Caenorhabditis elegans: one gene and its partners. The protein of the gene in region 2 interacts with the protein of the main gene of each other region in a pairwise test. Each region holds a gene or a part of one and is shown on either strand. Other genes may lie near its edges.

Region 1 (6,984 bases), on a different chromosome or scaffold from region 2:
CACGTGGCGAGACCCATACGCGCCTTTAGAATTCAAAAACATGTGTTGCAAGAGAACATATACAAATCTATTCCTGTAGATGTCAGCCGCTTCAACTTTTTTTCCAGAGGAAAGCAAAATCTAGACAAAGTTATAATGAAAATCCTGTCTGGTAAGTTTTTTAAAATTACTACTTAAGTAGCTACTTTTGATTTTTTTTTGTTGTTGAAAAATCACCAACTTTTGGCCGGCACTGCATATAGCTGGAATTAATAAAAACTAATGAACAATATTTTAAAAATTCGGAAAAACGAGTACTACTTCTCTCAAACTTTCGAAAAAAACCATAAAAATTTTGAGTAGGCGGAGCAGGAGCCGAATGACGTGACAAAGTACAAAAAAGAGCAGAAAAAGATGGTCGGAGGGTTACTGTGTAATGCGAACGGAGAGTAAGACGAGTAACTATTTGCAAATCGGATGAGCCATCTGCTACGCAACAAGTGCAAAACTCAAAAATTTTAAAGAGGGAACAGAGAAAAATAGCAGACTTCTTGAATTTCTAAAAGTAGCTAAATTCATCATACTCTAAAAAAAACGGTAGTATTTAAAATCAAGTTTTTACTTCACAACAGACTTTAAGAAACAAATATGAAATACCAAAAAATCCAAATAAGCATCAGGTTGACTGATCTTATTGGTAAATATTCACATAAAAATAATTAAACCGTGTGTATTTTTTCACGATATGATACACAAAACGGTGGGATGAATTTAATATTTAACAGAGACTAATTTAGAGCATATCTTCGCATATGCTTTCCAATCTGACCAATTTATTCCGACACTCCTGATCCTTGACTTTTTTGAGCGACTGCTTGATTGAGTAGCTTGATGAAGAAAAACTCGATTGCTTTTTGTCTGGGAATCTTCTAGCAATTGAAGTCAAGGTGTTAATGATAGGAATAAACAATTCCTTGACTTCCGAGTGCTTCAGCATCAGTAGCATCAAGCGAGGCGACAAAATCTTCAAGTGAGGGAGAATATGCGAATTGGTGACTTCTTCGGGAATCTTCGTGAATAATTTTTCGAGAACATTCAATAATGGATGAAGAATGCTCGTATAAGAGAATCCTCGATCCGCCACAATCAAAACATCAGTGATCGACTTGATGCCATTCAGTTCGACGACAAGCTTTTCCAAAAGTGATGGAACAAGATCGGTGACTCGGTCTGCAAAATATGAACATTTCTATGTGTTGTATGGTTTTGCAATTGACGAAGAAAATCATCCATGGCGGCATATTCATAAACTTTTGGTTTCTATGACTTTCAGATCAAAAAGCAGCTTCTTCGTAATTTTCATTTGCGACATACCGATGACAGTTGCAGCAACATGAACGACGTGAAGGTTATCATTTGTGAGTCCATGAAGAGCGCATTTCTTTAGCCTGAAAATCAATTTTTTTAAATATATTTAAAAAAAAAAGAGTTCTCACTTTGCCTCGACTGATTTATCCTCCATTTCTTCTATACCAATTTGCTCGTCTTCTTGCGCCAATATGTGATTGTATTGGATCATGCGATTGCGAATATTGCTAATTTCCATTTGGAATTTACGCCGTGCAATGAAACCACGTATCATTTTCTGAATGACAACAGCTGCCTTCTTTTTATTCTCAAGAATTTGAGTCTCATCATTTTGCAATTGAGATTTCTGATCCAATTGCATTGAATTTTCGAAGAGTTGACTGTCGTCACCGTGAAGGATAGCAACATCGTGCCCAGCATCTGATCTACTGTCGGACGAATCCTCCCCGCCATCACGAACAGCTAACGCATTTCTCTCGATGTTTCCCAGTTTTCTCGCCTGAAACTTTTAACCATTTTTAACCAGGCCCTGACCACTTTTTAGAGATATCCGTTTTTACAGCTAATTTTACTGGTTTTTCTCGGATTTTTTTGTGCTTCCATTTGAGACGCCAGATGAGAAAAGAAAATCCATTCAAATTTTCCAGGAAAACGAATATCTCGGCGGGCCTTATCAGTCGCTTCTTTTATTGTTACAAAATTTTTAAAAAACCCATTAAAAAATTTAGAAAAATGTTCAATTTTTTACAGTTATATGTGGTCATTATGATCTGTTCTCTCATTTAAAGCAAAAAATGTTTCGTTTTTTGACTGTTGAGTCCACCATTAAATAATCTGTCAAACTTGATATAGACTCACAATTTCCTGTTGCTTTCTCTTGAGTTCTCTGGTTTGTCTCAAGATCCTTCTAAGTTCAGGAGTGTTGGCATCGTCCTCAATAGACACACTAAGGTTATTCGTCTTGACGAAGTTCTTCTGATCTTCTGATAATGACTGGAAAAGCATCTCTAAACGCTCCTGTTCTTCTGTCATTCTGAATTCAACCAATGGGCTTCCGCTTGTCTGCGTAGGATCCATAGGAGATTTTGAAGGTAGATCTTCTTGCGTCTTGCCCTCTTTGATTTCAAAAGTTTCTAAGTTCTCAATTTTCTGACCATCATAGCTTGCTTCATTGTTCCCTTCTAGTGCAACCGGAGAATCTGATGCTTCAAGAACTACGACGCCGACATCTTCAGCTTTAGGGACATGCATCTCTTTGCCAGTTTCAGAGTCTTGAAGAAATATGGCAGATTGGGAAGCGGAAGGAATAGAAGAAAGAGTTTCTAATGGGATGTCTGAAGGTGGACTATCCAAGTTCTCAGCGGAAGGAGCAACAGTGTCTTTGTCTTGGTTTTCATCATCTTCATCTTGTTCTCTGAATACTTCCGCATTGTGCTCCATTCTGACAACGGTTCTCTTTTTCAATGTACTTGGTACGACCGTTTCGTTATTTTCCGAATCATCCTCTTCCTCGATAACCATCGCAATTGTTTTTCTTGTGAATGTACCTCTCAGTGGAGTTTTCTGCATCTTGTTCATGCTTTCAATTGAATCACGTGAAACAGTAAACGTCGCATCGTTGAAGGTAGAATCCATTGATTGGCGAGACGATGGGATTTGTGATAGAGATGGTCTTTCAGTCAGAATATTATTCCGTGGAGTCCTCGGTACTGTGAAAGTGACATTATTAGAGAATGGAGAAACACTTCGGTTTCGAGGAATTGATGAGTCGGCAAGAAGTTGTTGTACAATGAAATACAGCTTGGGAGTATTCTGAAAGTGAATTATAATATAAATAACTTTATTTTTTGATGAATACCTTTCTTTGCACGTAGGCCTTCCACATTCGTTGAATCTTGGTCGCTTTCTCATTTAGATCTTGAATCATACCCAGTCGTTCCAGAAACATTTTTACGAAAAGAGCCATGTTCTGATCAAGTCCTCGCTGAATACAAAGCTCCAACTCGGCAACTGAAACAACTTTCTCCCACAGACTGAGTCCATCATAGTCCTGAATCGGTGTTGAATTTGTTCCGAAAGTGGTCCACAACTTGGCCAGAAGGCACCCATCGGAGAGTGAATCCAAGTCCATGACTTCGATTTCCATCTGTCTTCCGTAAATCTTGCACATTTTTAATACTTCAGAAGACATGTCATCGTGGACAGCAGATCGCCGCTTTTTCGGAGTTCTTTCTTCAGAAACTCTCGTCACCTTGATTCTTTGTTCCTTGGCCACACGAACTCCGATAATAGCCCACAAAATAGACAAAATCTCGTCTTTCTTTCCGCCAACGATTGATTCGGCGTTAACATTATCCGTTGGAACACCCAAAGAAGACATCTCCTGGAGTACAATCTTCACGTTTCCAATTTTGCGGATGCGGTCGCCTGCTGGATCACGTAACTTCAACAGAATTTGACCATGCGGCATCTCTCCGACAGTTTCCAACAGCTTTCTGAAAAATAGGTTATGATCGGTGGAAATAGGGACAGTGATAACATTTGTTGTTGAATGAGGAAAAGCTCGTGTAATTTATAAGAAATCTTTCTAGAAACTCACGCCAAAATTAGACCATCCGAGAAATCTGAAAATCCTTTCGCTTGGTAGTCGTAATTTTCAATGAATGATTGTCGGTAAGTCGGAATAAAACCGACTTTTGCAAACGCTTTTTTGAAAGTAGCAGAGCTTCCAGTCAACAATTCCTTCGTCAGTTCGGAGAACACATCGTCGAGACAATTGAAATGAGAGGACTTCGTGAAGATTCTCGTCAGATTCGGGATAACTCGATGAGTGTGTGCCGTTTCAATCAAGAACATCAGCTTCATCGAGACGGACAGAAAATGCTTGTGTAGAGCTTCTTTGCCAGCCTCAGTGATGATCGGTCTGCAAAAATTTGATTAGGCATAATTTTAACGAACTCGTTCATCCTCTGAAATCAGCAACTTACTTTCCAGAACCTTGTGCAAATTTCTTGTTCTTTAGCATCGTCGGATTTGAGAAAACTAGATCGAGGAAAAACTGAGAAAGTTTTTTCATTAAATGCTTCGGTTGAGCGTCAATTCTCGTGTTAAAGATTGCTTCAAGAGCAGTTTTCAGCCAAGCAGGATGGAATGATAGAAATGTGTGAAGAAGAGTTGTTTGGAGGCCTATGTCATTATATACGGCATGTTCTTTTCGGATTGCGACGTTGTTTTTGGACAGAAGATCCTTGATGCTTGCATCCATTCCTGAATCGTCTAGAAGCTGCTTGCACTTTTTCTTCACAACTTCTGGATCATTTTTCTCAAAAATCCGTTGATATCTCCTGCGTGCATTTTCCTGTGTATTTTCCACTTCTGACGTATCTGATCTTTTCTTCAACATTTTTTGGATATTTCTGCAGGCTTCTGCTTTCGACTCTCCTAGATCCATCTCTTCAGACACATCCAATTCCATCATTGTGTTGCACCACGTGGCGAGTGCAATAATTTGCTTGTTGGCTTTCTCATCATATGATAGAATCGGGGAATCTGATACAGAAGAGCTGATTGAAGGATTGAGAGGAGTTCGCATATTCATTGAAGTCGGACTCGACTCCAAAAAGGCTCGCTCGGTTGCTCTCAAATCGATCTTCTTTGTGTTCGATTTGACTTGATCAAGAAGGCGTTTCTCTGAAAGAGGAAGAAAATAAATAATGAGATAAAGTATAAATATCTTGTTACCGTGTCGATTTGCTAATCGTTTGAGCATTGCCTCTTTTTTATCCTCAACGTTATTATCCATTTTGATTCTGAAAAATACAAAAAATAAAGACGAATAAATCAGGAAGGAAGACACAGCGATATTAGTTTCAATGCCGAGTCCAAAACGCGAAAAAGTCCCGATGTTGTTAGTTTTTTGTCAGTTTTCAGTGCAATTGTCGAACAAAGAAGACAATTTGGGGACTTTTACGCGTTTTGGACGCGGTACAAATGGCCACCTAAAACGGAGGAAAAAAACGTTTTGGGGATAAATCCGGAATTCGCGCCGCGTTCAGGTTGGGTACTGTAATCGTGATAAGACCATTTCTTTGAACTAAGAAGTGTGCCTTTAAACTGCTACTGTGCATTTTTATAATTCACACAAAAATTATATTTTAAAAAAGATTTTAAGGTGACGATTTTATAGTAGAAAAGCGTTAAACAGTTTTCAGGTAGCTTTCGGAAATTTAGATCAAACAAAAATCAATGAAAAAAAAGTAAAATTTATGTTTTGAACGCTCGCGCCACAATGTCATAAATGGAGCGCAATTACTGAATGTCTGCGTCTCCTTAATGCTAGCAATCTCTTCTTCTCAAATCTTGCAAATAAACAGTTTTCTTACCTTTTCCTAATTTATTTTTCTTGTTAAATGTGTTCTATATCACGCGGAAAATTGTCCACAGTTCTGAAATCCACGTCAAGCTGCATTTTCGAAAATCTTGCGTATGAGGAGCATATTTTCAGGGTCAGTTCAGCAGTAATTTCAGTGCCTTTGCTATAGTTTTTGATTTCAGACTCACAATGTCGCTCAAAACGGGGAAATCCTGCTCATGTGGAGTAATCGACCGGCTGTAGTCATCGGAAGACATCAAAATCCGTGGATTGAAGTCAACATACCATATGCTAACAAAAATAATATTCAAATTGTCCGAAGGCACAGTGGAGGAGGCACTGTTTATCATGATCTAGGAAATCTGAATATTTCACTTTTAACAACACACGCACAACACTGTCGGCCAAAAAACTTGAAGGTATTAATATCATTTTTCAAAATAATAAAAATATCATTTTATTATTTCCAGTTCATTTCGGATGCTCTAAATCAACAATTTTCTGTTAAAATCGTTCCAAACAAGCGTGATGACATGGAACTACATCCAGGAGAACGGAAATGCTCAGGAACAGCTGCAAGAATTGCGCGGTATTTTTAAAAAAAATATTTTAAACACTTGTTATGTGAATAATTTAAGAGGTCAAGCCTATCACCATCTAACACTCCTCGTCGGTGCGGATCTTCAAGTATTATCAAAATCTTTGAAATCTCCATGGAGAGATAAAATCGAATCAAATGCTACAAGAAGCGTAAGAGCTCCGGCTGTTGGATTTCTGAAACAAGATGATGCCAATGCAAATGTCGAACAATCAAAATTAGCCATTGTTGAAGCTTATAGGTGAACGGAGCAACTAAAAACTTCCAATCATTAAAAAATTTCAGAAAACTGTTCGAAGAATCACATATAAAAACTGTGAATGTTGCAGAGGAAGTGAAGAAAAATGCAGAAATATCGAAAATCTTTGATGAGTTGAAAGCCTGGAAATGGATTTATGGAAAAAGCCCGAAATTTCAATATTCCCGCGAAAATAAGTCCATAATTGAAGTGAAAGATGGACTCGTGTTAGACACAAATCAACAATTCTCGCCGGATCTTTAGTCATTTCTTTTTATTTTAATTATTTTCTAGTCGTTATTTGATTTTCCGTGTATTTTCCCTTGTTCTCTTGCTCACAGTAATTCCGTTTAAGTAAAATTTAAATTTTTAGATGATGCGAACTGCTCACAAGGATAGAGAGCCGTGGAGGGATATTCGCCGTAGTTT
Region 2 (6,157 bases):
CATCAACCCCATTAAAATGATACTTAAGGCTCAGTAACTGAAAGTTGGCAATTTCTTGACATTTTCAATTTTTGTCTCGCACCTCTGATATACATTGGTGATCATAAAAGTTCAGACTTTTCATAAACCTTGGGAATTTTGACATTGTGTTAGTGTAAACTCAAGCTGCGGTGTTCAAAATTTTCCAGTTTACCAATTCTGAGAAAGTCTGAAACGAGCACACACACACACACACACACAATGTGCTCTTAAGAATGAAGAGTAGACAGCAAGTGTGTATAAACATGCCATAGTGTATTGAAAGAACCTATAGTGCATTTGTGCTTTATGGTGGGCATGAAGTGATGTCATCTGATCCCTTGTTGGGTCAATCGTTCTCACAAAAAAAAGCTGTGGAACACATTCGTAAACAGAACGTCGATGCCCCCCGTTTCTGAATCATCAGTGACATTTTACTTCATTTCTAAACATAACATTTCCTTTTTTTTGCCTTCCGTCATTGTTTCTCATATTTTTCTATACGACGATTACTCATCAAAAGAGGACACGCTTCATGTTTTGTAACGAAATGGAAAACTATTTTTTTGTTCTTATTCGGGAAAAGTTGGATGTGAAACATTGGGAGAACACCGCGCACGGTTGAGGGGGGGGGGGGGGGGGGAAGAGGAAACCAATTTGACCACTATGTTTTGAAAAAAAAAGAATCTCAATGAGTTTTCTGGGTGATACTAATTAAATTGCGAACCCATTTAATCAGGTCCCTCTTTCTCGGCACTTTGTTCGTTTTCTTCGCAACCAATAAAACTGGACCCCGAGAGGTAACATGTTGTTGATGGTTCCTGATGATGCTCCGCTCTTCCCGCTTCTCATCTCCCCCGCATTGTGCAGTTGAAAGCAAAACTTGCAGTGTAACACCGAGAAAGCAGGGCAGCTAATTCAATGGAAACAATTCAAACTTTTTGGAGAAAAAAAATCTAAACCCTCTCGCTCAAAGATTATATTCCGGCGGAATACAGAAAAAAAAAACAAATTGTTGAATCATATAAATTCAAAAATCGAACATGTGACAATATCCAAGAATAGAAATTGATGACTAATACAATTTTCAGAAATTTTGCTTTGTTGTGATTTGAAACAAAATCATTTTCAGATATACTTTGAAGTACAAAAAGTGTTGAAAACATGAGGAATTTTCCTTTAACACTGGCACGTCATGCTCCACTTTGACAAAATACGTGTCAAATTTTTTTCTACATTTGAACATTGAATCATTTCTTAATAAAACTAGAGACCATCGATATATTGGAAAATACGGTTCCTTCATTACCAACTTACAGTTAAAAAACCTCGCTTTTCCTGATATTGATGACAAAAAGATTAATTCTAGATTCGAATATATCACTAAGTATGGCAAGAAAAGAGTTCTGAGAACATCTTTAGTCTGCAGTGCCACGACGTCTGCAATTGTTTTGCAACATTAAAATCTTACGGTTCCTTATCAAATTATCCCTTAAAAACCGAACGGCCGTTCGCTTTTCACTGACCAATTTCATAATTACAAAACATTTTTAGGCGTTTTTCTCACGTTGCGCTCTGCCGAACGCCTCATCTTCGAGGCGGGAAGGCGCGACGCGGTCCCCCAATTCAAATTTTCCAGGACACCACCACCACACTGTTTTTCCCTCCGTGTCCCGCCCTTCCGAGGACCGTCTGTCGGATGGCCGCTCTCCAGTATTCCCTCAATCCCTCATTCGGTTGGGCGGGGCCAGCCGACCAATGGCAAAGAGCGGCGCGGACGCGTCGCGTGCAGCAGTATAAATAGGCCACGAGAGGCAGAGTTGTGCACTGGTTTTTCACTAGGCACCCGCTTTCAGTTCCCAAAAAAATGTGTGACGACGAGGTTGCCGCTCTTGTGGTGGACAATGGATCCGGAATGTGCAAGGTGAGTTGATAACATTTGAATAATTCTAATTAGGGACAAAGGTTTAAAACAATATTATGCAATCTTAACTGCTCTAGAAACATTTGAATATAAGATTTAGAAATTTTGGAAAATTTTATTTTGTTAGTTTTAACTGCGCTTATTCCAACTCCATGTCTCAAATTTACTTTTCATTTGGGTTTAAAATTTCCAACAACCTAGGAATAATTCCATTGCATTGTATAAAAAGTTGTTTCCCTGCCGCATAAGGATTTTGAATTTCTATTCCTTCTCAACGTTTCGATTTGCATTGTTTCGCAAATAATTATGGCAACAGTTGTAGTAGTAGTGGGTGGTGATTCATATCGTCCGTCAACACCTGCGCGCGGTCACTCGCTCCCTCCCATTTTCAAATCTGGCGCCACGCGCCCCTTTTTCATCCCACTGGGAGAATATGTAAGGGGGGGGAAGAAAAAAGGAATCGTCGCAAGGATATGTTTTTAGTGTATGTAGAGTATTGTTGGAGAGGGGCCAACCCGACCCCGACCCGATGCGCATTTGCAATGGTGTGTGAGGAGAGGCCGTCCGTTGAGGGAACGTCCGCGACGTTTCCTTCGTACAATGGGATATATCACGACCAGCCAACAGTAGTGTAATGCACATTCCGAGAGGGCAGTGGCAATAGTTGAATAGAGATTTCGCCAGTAGATTAGCAACCCCATAAGATAGAAAGAGAGGCAAACCATTCAACAAGAACAGCGATTTTTTTCGTCGTCAAAAGCCAGTAGTTTTTTGTCTATCCACGACGGGTATCTTTATTTGCAACCACCTCACTTTGCAATCCTCATTAAGTATAATTTGGGAACGAAGAAGCGCAACGCGAACATCAATTATCCGCACCACCCTCAATAGTGCTACTTGGCTAATTTGTGGCCCTAGGAAACAAGATGTGTGTGAGTGTCTGAGAGTGTGAGATTCCGATGGTATTGGCGAACCCTTCCCGGATTTATTTATATATATGTGTCAGAAAAGAGGCTGCCGCTAATCGCTAATCTTGACAGTGTGTTGGTCAAGTGTGCCCTTGTATCCTCCTCGCATCACTGTATGCAGGGCGGCGGTTTCCCTCCATTCGGCCTCTCTTGTTGAATGACTACCACCACGCCAACAGCCGAACGGATGGGAGACGGATAGGACACAAGAAGGGACGGACGGACTGTCAAGGCCAAGAAATGCCACCTTTTGTCAATCCTCACTATATTGATTGATAGAAATGAATATGCGCAATCTAGACATGAGAGTCCGATTGAGGCCAAGTAGTAGGAGGCGAAAAGTGCGATTAGGATGAACGGGGAGAGAGTAAGTGACCGGGATAGGATTGTACAAATGCAATGGTCATCAGGGACTTTCATCATCAAAATGTCCCCCTTCCCATTCTAATTCAATTTTCCACAATTTCCATTTGAAATCAAAAAACTGACACGCTCACATCTGGTGCTCTTGGTGTGTAGACGATGACTCAATGCATTTCGAAATCTGTCTTAGTGCCCGAATGCCCCGCTTCTCAGTGCTGCTGATGGCCTCCCATTCGCCCCGTTTCCTATCTCATTATTCAACAGCGCAATTGGATTGCGAAATGGATCTGAGTGGGTAAAAAAAAACGGGGCCAGTGGCAGCAGCAGGCCCCTGCGACCAACACGGGGGTAAGCGAGCGCTGGGCACACTCTCTCACACACACACACACACACACACACACACACACACAAACACAGAGAGACATACACACATCTGTTGAGCGTTGTCGCCGCTCACCACACACCAAAGCGTTCTCGGAAAAAGTACTTCATTCGATATCAACCGTGAACTAGAGGAGTAGAGCGAGAGAGGGCATTTTGAGAATAGGGGAATGGGCCTTTTGTGTTTGCACTGCTCTCGCTCGTGCGCGGACTCACTGCGCTCTGCCAAATCTCGACCGAATTCTCGCCGCAACCTTCTCTCTTTGCAATGTAAATATAATGGACATTCTTGAAAGACCTAACGAGAGTATTCATTTCTTATCTAGGGGTCATCATGGGATATATTGAAACAAAAATTGATAATTTCAGGCCGGATTCGCCGGAGACGATGCTCCACGCGCTGTCTTCCCATCCATCGTTGGACGCCCAAGACATCAAGGTGTGATGGTCGGTATGGGACAGAAGGACTCCTACGTCGGAGACGAAGCCCAGTCCAAGAGAGGTATCCTTACCCTCAAGTACCCAATTGAGCACGGAATCGTCACCAACTGGGACGATATGGAGAAGATCTGGCATCACACCTTCTACAACGAGCTCCGTGTTGCCCCAGAAGAGCATCCAGTCCTCCTCACTGAGGCTCCACTCAATCCAAAGGCCAACAGAGAAAAGATGACCCAAATCATGTTCGAGACCTTCAACACCCCAGCCATGTACGTCGCCATCCAGGCCGTGCTCTCCCTCTACGCTTCCGGACGTACCACCGGAGTCGTCCTCGACTCTGGAGATGGTGTCACCCACACCGTCCCAATCTACGAAGGATATGCCCTCCCACACGCCATCCTCCGTCTCGATCTTGCCGGACGTGATCTTACTGACTACCTCATGAAGATCCTCACTGAGCGCGGTTACTCCTTCACCACCACCGCTGAACGCGAGATTGTCCGTGACATCAAGGAGAAGCTCTGCTATGTCGCCCTCGACTTCGAGCAAGAAATGGCCACCGCTGCCTCCTCATCTTCCCTCGAGAAGTCCTACGAACTTCCTGACGGACAGGTCATCACCGTTGGAAACGAGCGTTTCCGTTGCCCAGAGGCTCTCTTCCAGGTAAGAAAATATTTGCACCTCTAGCTAAACATAAAATTAATTCCTATTCATTTCAGCCATCCTTCTTGGGTATGGAGTCTGCCGGAATCCACGAGACTTCTTACAACTCCATCATGAAGTGCGACATTGATATCCGTAAGGACTTGTACGCCAACACCGTCCTTTCCGGAGGAACCACCATGTACCCAGGAATCGCCGATCGTATGCAGAAGGAAATCACCGCTCTTGCCCCATCGTAAGTTTAACTTAAATGGATTTCAAGAACTAATATTTACTTTCTATTTTTTCAGCACCATGAAGATCAAGATCATCGCCCCACCAGAGCGCAAGTACTCCGTCTGGATCGGAGGATCCATCCTCGCCTCCCTCTCCACCTTCCAACAGATGTGGATCTCCAAGCAAGAGTACGACGAGTCCGGCCCATCGATTGTCCACCGCAAGTGCTTCTAAATTTTTTGCCCCTTCCACCCACAACGCTCAAAAGAAGTTCGTATTATCCCGCAACCCATCCAGACCATCCTTTTACATTTTTTTTATTTTCTCTTTTTTTTTTCTTCACCCTCTCCGTGTACATTGCTAGTAATAGTTCCAACTTCTCTAGCCGACTGCATTATGCTTCCCATTCTCACCCAAATCTTCATTGGTAACTTCTCTTGTATTTGTTCAATACTATTCCGGTAGTAATCTAGGCATGTATAACTAGGTTCTCTGTGTATCTTTGGTTTGAAGTTGAGGTTTAATGCAATCACTTTTGTTGTTGTACCCTATTACTGCCGATGACCCCCATTTTCTCATTACAAAATTGACATTTTAAACCATTTTTTCTCTGAATCATGCTCATTATTTGAGCCACATTCATAATAAAGCTTTTAATAAGACAAATTGATCAAGTTTATCTAATGTAAAAAATACAAATAAAGAAAATTCAACCCGGAGGAGAGATGAAGTGAGTAGCTGTTACGGAACACAGATTATTTGCCTTGTTTGTTTCCGAAGATGTCTCCGACGCGGTCCAAAATTGAGCCAATACTGAGCGGATCATCTGGATTTGTGCAACGGACTCCTAGTAGTTGATCCTGTAATTTAGAAGGTGAGTTTTTTTAAACTAAAACAACAAATCTTAGAAAAATATGTTGTTTTTTGAGTTTAAAATAAGAATTGAACACAAAATGTACAACAAAAATTAAAAAAATTCATGGAATTCTTGATCCGCTTTTATGATTAGTGTCTCATTTTGTTTTACTCAAGTATGTTATTAAAAATATATCATACAATGTTTGAAAAAATATTTTTAACGGAAAAAAACAGGATATGGACGCAGCCTATTATTCATTTTCTACAAGTCGAAACATTGCCACATGAATATAGCATTTTTATAAAATAAATAAGGTATCTAATT
Region 3 (7,695 bases), on a different chromosome or scaffold from region 2:
AAAAATACACAGATACAAATTTCTAGCTGAAGAGAATTGAAAGAATGAGAAAATAATAAAGACTCGGGCATATAAAGGATGTGTGGAAAGATTTGGAAGGGAAAAGTATGAAGATACATGAATAAAACTGAAATAAATTATCTATAAACGACCGTTTATTCTTTGTTGATGCCGGCGATCAAGTTCCTCGTCGTCACTATCACGACCCGTCTCAATCTCGTTACGCGTAAACTCGGCGAGCACTTTAGCTGGTTGCAAAGGTCGCCGTTCGGATGCCCGTCTGCAAACTCTTTATAACATTAGTCGGCGTTCGTTGAATACATCTTTTGAAAGGGGGATTCTAATTAATTTTCTGTAATGGAATAGATAATGATCAAGAATTAGTGATCACCTATCACGGGAACACCAACTTCTGAGTATGCGTATTGCACAACATATTTTTGACGAGCAAAATATCTCGTAGCGAAAACTACAGTAATTATTGTAATGACTACTGTAGCGCTTGTGTCGATTTACGGGGTGCATCTCAAAATCGTAAAATTTAGTTTAATAGGTTTAAAAAATGTCTGAAATCTTATCAAAAATTTTTTCAGGGGGGGAAAATTTTCTGAAAGAAAAGAAAAATTGTGTTTTTTGATGCTTTAAAACTTTCATTTCAATGTCCGAAATCATCCAACTATTCATCACTTTTTATGAACATTGTCGCTTTTTTTTTGCTTTCCGAAAACTCAATTTGCATTTATGATCCTCAAGGGATACACTTTTGCTCAACAAGTCAAGAATATACATTTTGGTGTCGCAGCTCTTTCGGCTTTCACCACTTTTACCACAAAAAAAGGGACTTGGGACTACTGACAATGGCAGCTACGTGCCATTTTCTGGTGGCAGTGCTATTTTTTATGAATTATTCAGGGACCGACTACTTTTTTTCACATGGCTTCTCAATGAAGTGTGTCATATGTCCTTTTGCAGGCAAAGGAAACACTTATAGAGGGATCCTTGATTCAAAAAAAATAGATGAAAACGTTACCTGATTATAGCATTATTCTTTTGTGGTCGAATTAGTGGTTGTTTCTTTGGTGGAGCCATTCGCCACTCGACACGTACACTGTTGGCATTAGGACGACGGAACTGCAAGAATAAGGATGAGTTTCAGGAAGTTATCAGCAAAGAATTCCAAGCATTCGAGCAATTTAAGAAAATGAAACCAACAGCAAACAACATCGAGACACTTTTCATCAACAATAACACATATTTTACGTTCGTATCAATTTCTTTCAAGTTTTTTTTTCAACTTAATCTTCTTTTCTTAGTTAAAGTTGCAATACAATCTAGTTTAAAATGTATGAGTTTTTTACGGGGGAGTATAAGATCACAAGACCGACATATTGGGGGATCGATGTCCACACATCAAGACCGATACAATGCATTTTTAGAAAGTTAAATGTTTTTTTGTTGGGAAAACGATTTTTAAGTGTGAAGGGAAAATAAGAAAGGGATGTCCTTACCAATTTGAATTAACATATTTAACTGGAATTGTTTTCTTTTTTTTGGAATATAATGAAAATTAATTTGTATTTTCTAGGATTCAGGAAATCTATAAAAATCTGAGATTTTGCTTTTAATTTTTGGCTAAATTCCATGTTTGAATTCGCACCAAACTGAGAGAATTCAAATAGGGAATCGCCAAAAATTGAAAAATCTGATTTTCGAAAATTCGACATTTCATTCTTTCTCTTTTTTGGGTATTTCTGAGAATCAAACTATTCTGGATTTTTTTAAAGCAAAATCCCTACTCCATTAAAAAAAAATCGTCAAACATTAATAGTCTTAACCACTGATTTGAACTCAAGACATAAGCTTTTTTTAACTATAAAAAATATTTACCATTAAATTACGCAGCAGCCAACGTAAATTTTGAGAAAAAAGCAAAAAATTAAATTCGACATGCTCAATATCTCTTTTTCTCAAAAACAACATCGATAAAACCACACAACACGATATTTAATGCTTTCTCATTTTTTCTCACCAGATTCATCCATCGGACTTTCATAATTAATAGCTTTGTGAGCATCGCTAAGCGCAACGGCTGATTCGACTCGAGCACGTTCGCGTTGTGCACACTATTGAGAATGTTTTTTTTTTTTTTTAATTTTATTTATTTAATTTTCTAAAACTTTTGGGTACACTTTCTAAAATCTCAAAATTCAGTGTACAAAAGGCAACTGGTCTATTGGCACTTTAAACCACGTGTCTACTCAAAAGAGTGGGCGAAATACCATCTGATTTGAAATGAATTACGTAAGCAGCCGTTATCGTCTGTACGAAAAAAGAAATGTGTGATAAATGCTGGAAAGCAATAGTATCAGACATCAAGTGGGAATAATAATTAATGTTTTGTTTAAAGAAAGGGAACCAACCTTGGTACTGGCAATGTATGCAGCTTTAACAGTCTGTACAACAGCAGTTAAAAGATTTCGAGCCGTTTGAATAAGAGACATTGCAGAGTCAAGTGCAGATACGACAAGCTCATTTCCAACTTGAGTCACATCAGCTTTCACCTGAAATATTACTTTCTATTAAAAGTTTAAAGTTATATTTCACATGGTTTTTTGAAAGCAATTTAAACAAAACTTATTTATAGTAAGTATATGAACAATTTTCTAGTATAAGTGAGGCCAATCACAATTTTTTTTTCATTTTTCATGGCTTCAGTCTAGAGCTTGGTTCGCAAAAAAAACGCGAAGTAAAATTATATCTCTACTGAAATCGTTAAAAACAGTTGAAACCTCTTTTGGTGAAATATCACACTATCTATAAGTTTTTTTTTTTAATTCTCAATTTTTTCAAAAACTTTTCAGATAATTCTGAAAAATACGAGATTCTTTTCAGTTTTAGTTTTTATAGACGCGTTTTTAATTGTGAATCTTTACAATTTTCTTGAAAAACTAATTTGACAAATTTAAAAAACCCCCGAAACAAACAATTGACCAAAAACATTTGGTACGCTTTTACAGCTCGTGGCACCAATTAAAAAAACTCACCTTACTACAAATATTCAGTTGCTGACAATATAGAGTGATTTGTGACAAATATGCGAGCAAATCCTTTTTCGTCTGCGAATCAGCACTTTCTTCTCCAATCTGCCGTGCCAATGCATTTAGTTTTGATCCATTAAGTGAGATTTCTTGTGCTGCTCGGATAACATCCATTGTCGTTTTCAATGGCCCACAACCTCTTGTGAATTCTGTCATACTCATCATAATCTTACACATATTATTGGCCAATGATATAATATCATTTCCTGTTTCATCCCACTTGGCAACTTCTCTTTCGAATCGTGTTTGTGTTACTTTGAAGATATCAATTTGTGCTTGAATTTTCTTTTTCTCTTCTTCTGGCAATCGTCTCATCAGATTCTGTTGATTTTCTTGTTCGGATATCGTACGATTAGCATCTGCATTTGCTGCACCAACACCATCAGCTTCATACTCTACATCCGAATCAACATCATTCATACTTCGGTTCATTAAAAGTGCATGTCGAATGTCTTTAACTGCATCGTGAACTAATGTACAAGCATTGATAAATTCATTCATTTCTTCTTCCTTTGTTTTTGGATCCCATGTAAGTCCGTGTGCTTCTTGACGGTTGGCTAAAGCGCTCGCACGCTCAGCGAATTGATCTACACGTTGAGTTTTCAAAATCCGAACAGCTTGCTTAACAGTTTCAGTGTATTCAGAGTTCTGAAGGAAGTCCATTTCAGCATCGACAACGTCACAGACTCGGAGAGCTCGTCCACGTATCGATCCGGCAGCACAGTCGACAGTTTCACAGTTGGCCGCATTTTCATCCGGTGTTGAAGCGTTTGCCTGGAAAATTCAGTTTGAACGTCTCAAAAGTTGACGAATTTAGCGAAAACTATTTTTGTTAATTTTCATTAAATTTAAAATTTTGAGAACTAAAATACTTACCGTGATACCTTTGATTCCCCGCTCACAGTCTTCAACAATATGTGCTTCACTGACAGCCAAAAAGTCGTCCAAAGTAGTGATATTGTCAAGAGCAGTCGTTAACAATCTCACTTTGTCAAACCAAGCATTTTTATAGGTTTCCATGTTCTCTTGAGCAGTTTTTGAAGTAGGTTGATGGCAAAGTAAGATGGCAGCTTGAGCAACTTGTGGAGCAAGTTTTTCAAGTTGAGCAGCCGTATGCTGAATGACACTAACACTTTCAACATCTGATGAAAGTTGACAAGAAAGACGAGCAACTGAAACAATTTCATTTGCATGCTCTTGGAACATCTTTGAACGATATCTTGTATTCTCTTCATGGCCTTCTTTAGCAGCTTCTATCAGTAAAATAAGCGGTGTACGGGTATCCAGGAAAGCATCACTTATATGATCTACAATTGCACGACGAAGGTGTCGCCGGAGATCTTTTGTTCTTTTGTGTACTTCTGCGATTCCAAGAGGAATATCATCATTATCATCTCTTCGGCCGGTCTGAAAAATTACAGATTTAAAACATAGTTAAACAGGTCGTAATAAGCTTTAAATTTTATTGTAAAAACTTTGTAGTCTCTATATTTTCTACTACTACAAATTTTTTAAAGAATTTCCCCGAAATTCTAAAAAAAACATTTTCCATGTCTGAACTCGCGGTGGTCATTTTTTTTTCTAAAAAACGGCTTTAGTTCGAGTTCGGTTAACAAACAAAAACAGTTGTTCTCGCCCTGAGGGACAAGGCGTCACACTTGAAAGAACGCACGATTGTTTGTTTGTTTGTTCTCACCGTCTCCATCGCCCTTTTGTGAAAAAGATGCGCTTCTTTGAATGTTTTTTATTTCTTTTTATTTTAAACGAGGCAACAAGTCAAGAGATCAATAGAAAAAACTTACAGATTTTTCATATTCGGTCAAAAGTTCTTGAAGAGCTTGCCGCAAATTATTGCATTCAGCAACAATTTTTTGTTTTCGATTTTCACGAGTGCTTTCAGCATCGGCAATTGAAGCAGAACCACTAACAATTCGTTCACAATGTCCTTCAAGATCTGGACGATCAGTTCCTCGACGATAATGGGCTGGATCAATTTCGATTCGATTCTTAAAATAAATTATTTGTCTTATTATTTGAAATTTTTAAACTCACTTGAAAAGTATCGATTTCATTGATAAGATCGCCTATTCTTCCATATTCAGAAAATGTTACTTTCGGTTGTTGTCCGTTTAAAACAGATTCAAGAGCATTTAAAGCAGAATGCATTTCATCTGCAGTGTAATCACGATTTCTTCGAGCTTCTTCATGTTCTGGATGTCTTACAAATGTTCGTGTTGAAGTATACAGAAGTGGTGCAGTCTGTCGAAGTGCTGATCTTGCTGCTAGAAGATCATCTCTCTGATTTGGTTTAACCAAATCAATGGCTCGTCGTCGAACAGTGATATCAAGTTCTTCGATTTGAGAAATGAGAAGATTGTACAAATCATCTACTTTGATTTTTGTATCCGCTTCAATCATTTGGTGTGCAGTTTCTCGAACTTCATCTACTTTATCAACTATCACTTTTACATCAATCGAGTCGGCAAGAATTAGGAATTTAGCGACAGCCTGAATACAACATTTTTCAGTTAAAAGAGTACCTAAAAACTTACAGTCAACAAATTTCTACCAGAATTCGTTGCAATAGCTCGTTTGTTTGTTGAAGTTGAATCTCTGACAAAATCTCTTCCAGTTTGAATCATCACTTGCCCAGTATCTTGAACTGCTCCAAGAGCTTCGTGCAATAAATCAATTGCGCGTGGATCACTGTTTGCAATTGGGCATTTCGAAATTGCAAAGCTTCCCGTTTGAAGAAAATTAGCAACGGCAGCATCAAGAGTGGCGACAAGTCCTTCAGTAGTTTGTCCAGGTTTTAACGGAAACGTTTCAGTGATGTTGGTCACTTCATTGATTAATTGAGTAATTTGTTTCAAAACATTTTTCGAGCGCACTTCGTCGATGTTGAAATACGCATGAGAATTGCCATTCGCAGGCATTCTGAAAATTAATAAAATTGAAAATTCAGATTAGAATGCAAATAAAACGAAGAGAAATAATATTTATATTGAGATGAAATCAAAAAATATAAAAAGAAATACATAACCTTACATTAAAGTATCGATTAGAACTACTGTTAGATTTGAAGGCGCACGATAAAGAAGGGGTGGTTGGTCTCAAAGAGATCCAAGAGGGTACTGTCACCGTTAAACTTTATTGGCAAACACAGAATTTACTTATTCTTTGAGAAAATGACTCATATAAAATAAAAATCTTTACTCTAACTTTTCAAAAATTAAAAATTAAATTTTCAATGAAAAAAATAAAAAATCCTTTCGCAAAATAGCGAGAAACAAGTGTGGTGGGGCCTGTGAGGCCTTTCGGGTGTTTACTCAACGAAAAAACAAAACAATTAATAGGGGATTATGTTTCACATGCCGGCAATTTAGGAAATAACTATTTTTTAAATAAAATTTAAGAAAAAAACAAATTCGAAAATTAAAATTTCGACCGAAAATGAAGAAACTTAGTTTTTATTTGCCATGTTGAATATATGTTTCACACTCAAAAATTTTCAAATAAAAAAGTTGCGAAGCCAAAAAGTCACAAAAAGCAAACTTTTGAGGTATTTGCGAGTGAGAAGTGAATATGGTGAAAACGATGATTCCGCACCATCAACCGGTGTACGAAGACACTGTTAAATATAGAGAGAAAGAAGACACATAAAGAAATGATGATTCAGTCGGGTTGGCCGGTCGGTCAGTCAGCGGGTGACGAGTGAGCGGAGAGAAGGGTATAAGAACGGACGAGCGGCGGGAATAGAGGACGAAGAGGCAAGGACACTGGTCAATGGAGATGAAGAGACACAGACATTGGGACGGACGGAAGCAGGACGGTTCCCTTCGGGATGAGCAGAGACTCGACAGATGGAGAAGATGACCGAATTGAGTTTGTTTGCCCGACTCCCATGGATTATAAAATTGGGTACGTATGGCCTATGTTGGGGCAACTGCAGCAGCAGCGTGTGAGTGTGCGCCCCGGAAATAAAGGACTTTTATGGAAGGAGTATTGAGAAGATGATGGAAAAGGGACAAAAAGTTTCCCTTTTGTTTTGACGTCTTCTACGTCTTATTCGGAGATTTCGAGGGATAATTCTGAGGGATATGGAAGGACAGTGAATTGATGCATCATCATCATATTCTTATATTGGGTATTGAAATTTAAATTTGAATACGACCGAAACAATTTCTCGTTTCAAAAAAGTGGAATCTGAGTCATAGAGAAGTCTGAATCACGTTTTGTACACGGCAGCAGCTGTTTGTAAACTTTGAATCGCGGGGGTGAACTGAAGTGAAAAAAAAGAAAAAAAACTAGGAAAAATCAGGGAAAGTACATTTTTGAGATTGCATTTTTCTGAGAACCTGAACTTTCTCAGATGATATCAACAACATTATTAATCACTGCAACACGATCTGTGCTATTGTAAAAATATGTTCAATAATAATTTGATTTAGAGTCTATTTTGTCCCAATTTTAAGAGGTTTCTCCTGTCTAAACTTTCATAGACAATTTACGGAAATCTAGTAACTGTTGCCGGCTTATTGAACTTTTTCACTGGAGTTACTAAGATACTTATAGAATTTTTACGAAGTGTGGCCAA
Region 4 (4,663 bases), on a different chromosome or scaffold from region 2:
TCATTTTCTCTCTTTCACAGACTGAGATTTTCGTCCTTGAACGGGAAAACTTGCTCAACTTTGACTATTTACAGCTCTTTAGAAAAATAATTGAAAAAACTTTAGAAAATAAAAAATTACGGTACAGTGTTGCTATGGGGCTGCTGGGGGTTGCTGCCTAAGCAGCCCTACTTGTTTGGATATTATTGTAACATTAAATTCTGAGAATGCGTATTGCGCAACATATTTAAAGCGCAAAATATTTCGTAGCGAAAACTACAGTAATTCGATAAAAGGCTACTGTACGTATTGTTTTACGGAGGTCGAAAGAATAGTAGTCATTTAAATAGTAGTCATTTTTTTTTGTGTTCCCGTAATATAAGCAAGCATTTTTTCCATTTTTCAAGCGAAGGAACTAAAATTATAAAAAGAGGCAGACATTAACGTTAAGTGTAAAGATCGGAGAAACAAGCGATTAATCACCGCAAGTGTCACATGTGATTTCTTATTTCCCCGATAATCGGCATCTTATCTAGACTTATCAGTATCAGGTGAGTACTCAATTTATTATTTACAAGTTGTTCAATTTAATCAGTAATTTAGGCACGATTCCTATACAAGTTTCTTGTGCGAACTGGCGGTGGCGCATCGAAGTAGAGCTCTTCGATTAGTAGATCTTCAGGTTCAAATTGCCATTCGGCCGAGATAATCTGCAAAACCGTATGCTATGTATCTTTATTTCCGTACCCTTGTTTTTGGTAACCTAGGTCGAGGGATTTTGGACTTTTAAGAATGGAAAAATACACGTACGGCTGATAGAATAAATATGTGGGGAGGAGTATGGTACTGGTGAGAATTTTAAATGGGAGGAGGTGGCTGCTTACTGTGCATAATTTGAGAAGGTAATCGTACATCTGACAAAATATAGGCAACATCCACACAACAACCATTCTCAACGATGATGACGAGAAGGAGCGGCGCAGGTGATATAGTAGAACAGGTCAAGTCGAAGTGGTGTAATGGAGAGGAAAAAAACAAAAAGAAAGAAGATTGAATAGCATGACAAAAGATGCCATCATCGTCGCCAGCCTATCACTTGCTTTCTATATCAAAAAAATTTGTGAGGGTGGTGCGAAGGAGGGGAATGGAGGGCAAAGGTCTGACAAAAACAAATAAAATTGAGAAAAGAGTAGAAGTCATCATCATTTAGGAACTGAGCCAGTTATTTGACATGAAAAGACTACAGATAGTAAAGTGGTGATTGAGAAGAAAAGTTACTATTCGGTTTGTTGACGAACCAAAAGGCTAGTCGTCCAGGTTGAAAGCTCGGCGATCCGTTGACGTCCCTCGTTCAGAACCTGTAAGAATACTTATTTAGATAAACTTTTTTTAAAATGAATTTTAGATACCTCGTCGCGGACTTTGTAAACATCCTCAGCATCTGTGAAGTTCTTCTTCAAGTTCTCCAAGTAGTCAATGGTGGAGTCAATCTTAGTTCCATCACCGAAAACCTGGAAAAAAGAAAATAAATTATACTTTCTAGAATAGAACAACCAACGTTTTGTCCCTTCTCACGCAATGATTGAAGTTGTGTTGAGAGTTGCTCGGAGGTTGATTGAATGTGTTTCATCAACATCTCTTCTGGAGCAACTTTGTATTTTTGTGCCTCTTCCTCAAGTGTTTTCTTGAAATCAAAGACAGATGTGGAGAGCTCGTTTGACTTCTCTATGACCCACGTTTTCTTCTCACGGACGATGTCTAGCTGAAAAGTATCAATCTTAGATTCAATATATATTCATTTATGAAAATAAACTAACCAATACGAAGGATTGGCTGAGCTGCTCAAGATAATTACGGGCTCTCTCGTTGATTGGATCGATAACATGATCATGTGCCTTAAAAAGCTAGACGGATTTTCAAAAAATGTTACATTTCTCTACCTTGTTAGATACTCCTTGGACGATCAGTGAAGCCAGATTTTTGACTCGCTGTCCGATGGTGAGGTTCACAGATGGTGGGACCTCGATATTGAGTCCTTTCTGAACTGCTCCGTCAAGAATGTCAAGCAATGAATTAGTATTTTCTGTGATTTTCTCCACAGGAACCATGGCGATTCGTTGGGCCTGATGAAGAGCTGAGAAGATTCTGTGTTCGACAGCAAGCTCGGCTTCTTTGATCGTAGAAATCGCGCTGCTTCCCAACTTTTTAGCACTGTCCACTTGCTCAAGGACCAGGGCGGCACCTCCAGCACTCAAGGCAAGTGAGAATTGGGTCAAAACGACGGCAGCTCCAATTCCGAATGTACCACCAACGATAGCAGCTTGCTTTCCGCTCTCAACAGCTGTTTTGGCCCTCTCGGTTCCATAAGAGACTGCTTCATAAGCGGTGTTCTTTGGCTTAACGTAGTACGAATTGTATCCGTCATAGGCTTTTTGAGCCGCATAATTTCCGACAGTGGAAACCTTTTCTTCGGCTGAATTCAATGTGGAGTTAAGAAGTGGATGGAACTCTTTAGTCTTTGTGTATGCATTGATTGCCTGAAAATAAAAATTATTGTGAAACGAAGATTTTGGAAAGCGATATAAAAATACCGTTTGTACGTAAGCATTTCCTAAGACTTGATCGTAGTAGCTTTGGGCTTGGGCTTGTTGATCCTCAACTGATACTGGCTGCTCGACGTCAGTCATCTTTCTTGCTGCAAACAATCAATTGATAAAATGATAAACTAGAAAATACGTTCTCAAAAGAGAATAAAAGAAACGAGAAATCATGAAGAAGAGATAGAGAAACTGAGGACTGGTCAGCTAGTATTTGTAGGTCCTCCGTGAACGTACTTTGCCCCCAATCAGATGGTGGGGTGACTAAGTTTCGCAATAAGTTCACTTGGAAAATTGTGGATTCCCGCTACAAAACTACAATGTAGCCAAAAGACACGTTTCCTTAATGCTACTGTGTTTGAAACGAGACGACAACAAGTAAATGAGGGAAAAGTTCAGAAAACAAAAGAAATACTTCGCTTTTTCTACCTATTTTGCTGATTATCAGTGCAAGATAATAAACCTGAAAAATTTTCGCAGAAATTACTTGGAAATAAAAACTGATAACGGTCGTTAACGGGAGAATCTAGAAAAATCGCGAGAACGTCTGAAAGAAAAGGTAAACAAATTGAAAATTAAACAAATGGCGCCATTATTAAATTAAATAATTAAAACATGTCGGGACCATTAAGCAGAAAGGTGTGCGCCTTTAAAGATATACTGTACTTGGGGAGTACTGTAAAGAAATTTTAATCCGAAAATTGTTTGTTTCTTAACACAATCTTGTGTTTTTTTAAATAAAAAACATATTCAACAAATATATTTTTTCGCCGAAATTTGAAAATATTCCGCATAGTAAAACTGTCCTCGTTGTTTTATTCTCCTTTTCTCTCACTCTCCCACCAGACGCAGAGAAAAATACAACGTTCAGTGCACAGAACGATCGTGACTTTCATAAATTTTCTCTCAGTTTTCATTTAAAGTTTTTTATGTGGACAGGCTTCTTCCGAACTTCCTCTGCGTGCCTCAAGGAGAAAATGGTTAAGCCAAAAAAAGAGGTAATTAATTTTTAAAAAAATCAATCAAGAAAAAATAACGATATTACAGAAAATAGCGAATAAATGTGTTCCGACCGGCGAAATAGTTGATAAAAAAGCGCAGGAATCAGCGATTTTCTCCGATACTGAAGGTCGAATCGGACTGCATATTCACGCAAAACCGGGCGCCAAGAAGAGTTGTGTTGTAGGTAAGATATTTTTGATTTTGCAAAGAAGAAGAAACATCGAGAGAGAGATAAATGTTTACTAAATGTTAAATTCGCAGCAATCGGAGATTCGGAAGTTGATGTAGCAATTGGCGCAGCGCCACGCGAAGGAGCAGCCAATGAGGAGCTCATTTCATATTTAATGAGTGCTTTGGGTCTTCGAAAAAATGAATTACAATTTGATAAGGTAGGTATTTAAAAGGAAGCTAGAATTAGCAAACAAATAAATTGAAGTGAATCGAACGATATAATCGATGTTCTTTGAAGTTGAAACCAGTTTCTAAATAATCGAAAACACTTTCATGACTCCTTGAAATAGTAAAAGCGAATCAGATTATTCACGTGAACATTTGAGGGAATTCCCATGAATTTGTCTTCTTTTCAGGGAGCAAAGTCAAGAAGCAAAGTGGTGCTGATAGACACAAAACGATTGACCATTGACGAAGTACGGAAGAAGTTGCAGGAAGAAATCGACAACTGATTCTGTAAGAATTCAAGTTATTGAAAAAATTATTGAAGAAATCTGAAATATCTTTTAATCGTGTTATTATTAAACGAGTGTGCCCTGTAATTTCAAACTTTCGTTGCTGTGGTATTTTTATCGATTTTTCTCAGTTTTTCGAGAAAAAATGGCGAGAAAGCTGAAAATTCAACGAGAATTTGGCAGCATGCTGCAGCAATAAAAGGTTGAATCTACATTACTCTTTAAAGGCGCACGCTTTTGTATTTAACAAAAATTTGTCGTCGCGAGACTGGGTACTGTACTTTTGGAGTAAAACTCGCATAATTTCGAAAATTTTGGATATGCAAAACACATTACCCACATTAAACAAATATTTCACTTTATAGATTTTTAAATACCTGTTTCCCAATGAAAATTTGA

What was found.
Region 1: the proteins of act-4 (region 2) and aspm-1 interact in a two-hybrid assay, tested with the Caenorhabditis elegans proteins (one large-scale study listed by BioGRID).
Region 3: the proteins of act-4 (region 2) and hmp-1 interact in a two-hybrid assay, tested with the Caenorhabditis elegans proteins (one large-scale study listed by BioGRID).
Region 4: the proteins of act-4 (region 2) and plin-1 interact in a two-hybrid assay, tested with the Caenorhabditis elegans proteins (one large-scale study listed by BioGRID).

What each region holds. Positions count from the first base shown.
Region 1 is NC_003279.8:9,221,235-9,228,218, forward strand, and holds aspm-1 (Calponin-homology (CH) domain-containing protein), read right to left. Parts: upstream 5,157-6,984; 5' UTR 5,150-5,156; coding exon 5,089-5,149; intron 5,038-5,088; coding exon 4,335-5,037; intron 4,271-4,334; coding exon 3,947-4,270; intron 3,843-3,946; coding exon 3,206-3,842; intron 3,160-3,205; coding exon 2,206-3,159; intron 1,847-2,205; coding exon 1,476-1,846; intron 1,428-1,475; coding exon 1,354-1,427; intron 1,210-1,353; coding exon 773-1,209; 3' UTR 516-772; downstream 1-515. Other genes in the region: lipt-1 (BPL/LPL catalytic domain-containing protein), read left to right, coding at 5,757-5,852, 5,902-6,138, 6,190-6,308, 6,358-6,558, 6,603-6,819; gip-2 (Gamma-tubulin interacting protein 2), read left to right, coding at 6,929-6,984.
Region 2 is NC_003284.9:4,958,777-4,964,933, forward strand, and holds act-4 (Actin-4), read left to right. Parts: upstream 1-1,844; 5' UTR 1,845-1,885; coding exon 1,886-1,942; intron 1,943-4,023; coding exon 4,024-4,758; intron 4,759-4,814; coding exon 4,815-4,993; intron 4,994-5,048; coding exon 5,049-5,208; 3' UTR 5,209-5,637; downstream 5,638-6,157. Other genes in the region: M03F4.6 (EB domain-containing protein), read right to left, coding at 5,730-5,834. UniProt on the Caenorhabditis elegans protein: Actins are highly conserved proteins that are involved in various types of cell motility and are ubiquitously expressed in all eukaryotic cells.
Region 3 is NC_003283.11:11,844,217-11,851,911, reverse strand, and holds the start of hmp-1 (Vinculin), read right to left. Parts: upstream 6,036-7,695; 5' UTR 6,035-6,035; coding exon 5,651-6,034; intron 5,607-5,650; coding exon 5,151-5,606; intron 5,105-5,150; coding exon 4,901-5,104; intron 4,829-4,900; exon of another isoform or gene 4,606-4,828; intron 4,506-4,605; coding exon 3,975-4,505; intron 3,873-3,974; coding exon 3,045-3,872; intron 2,562-3,044; coding exon 2,421-2,561; coding exon of another isoform or gene 2,373-2,420; exon of another isoform or gene 2,124-2,372; coding exon of another isoform or gene 2,016-2,123; exon of another isoform or gene 1,132-2,015; coding exon 1,031-1,131; intron 290-1,030; coding exon 142-289; 3' UTR 1-141. UniProt on the Caenorhabditis elegans protein: Required for cell migration during body enclosure and cell shape changes during body elongation. Required for proper localization of other junctional components, such as pac-1.
Region 4 is NC_003279.8:7,055,211-7,059,873, reverse strand, and holds plin-1 (Perilipin-1 homolog), read right to left. Parts: upstream 2,683-4,663; 5' UTR 2,667-2,682; coding exon 2,571-2,666; intron 2,517-2,570; coding exon 1,920-2,516; intron 1,884-1,919; coding exon 1,797-1,883; intron 1,742-1,796; coding exon 1,538-1,741; intron 1,491-1,537; coding exon 1,389-1,490; intron 1,338-1,388; coding exon 1,278-1,337; coding exon of another isoform or gene 1,257-1,277; exon of another isoform or gene 707-1,256; intron 690-706; coding exon 579-689; 3' UTR 530-578; downstream 1-529. Other genes in the region: W01A8.2 (UPF0235 protein), read left to right, coding at 3,506-3,574, 3,624-3,762, 3,840-3,967, 4,166-4,261. UniProt on the Caenorhabditis elegans protein: Lipid droplet-associated protein which plays a role in lipid droplet clustering.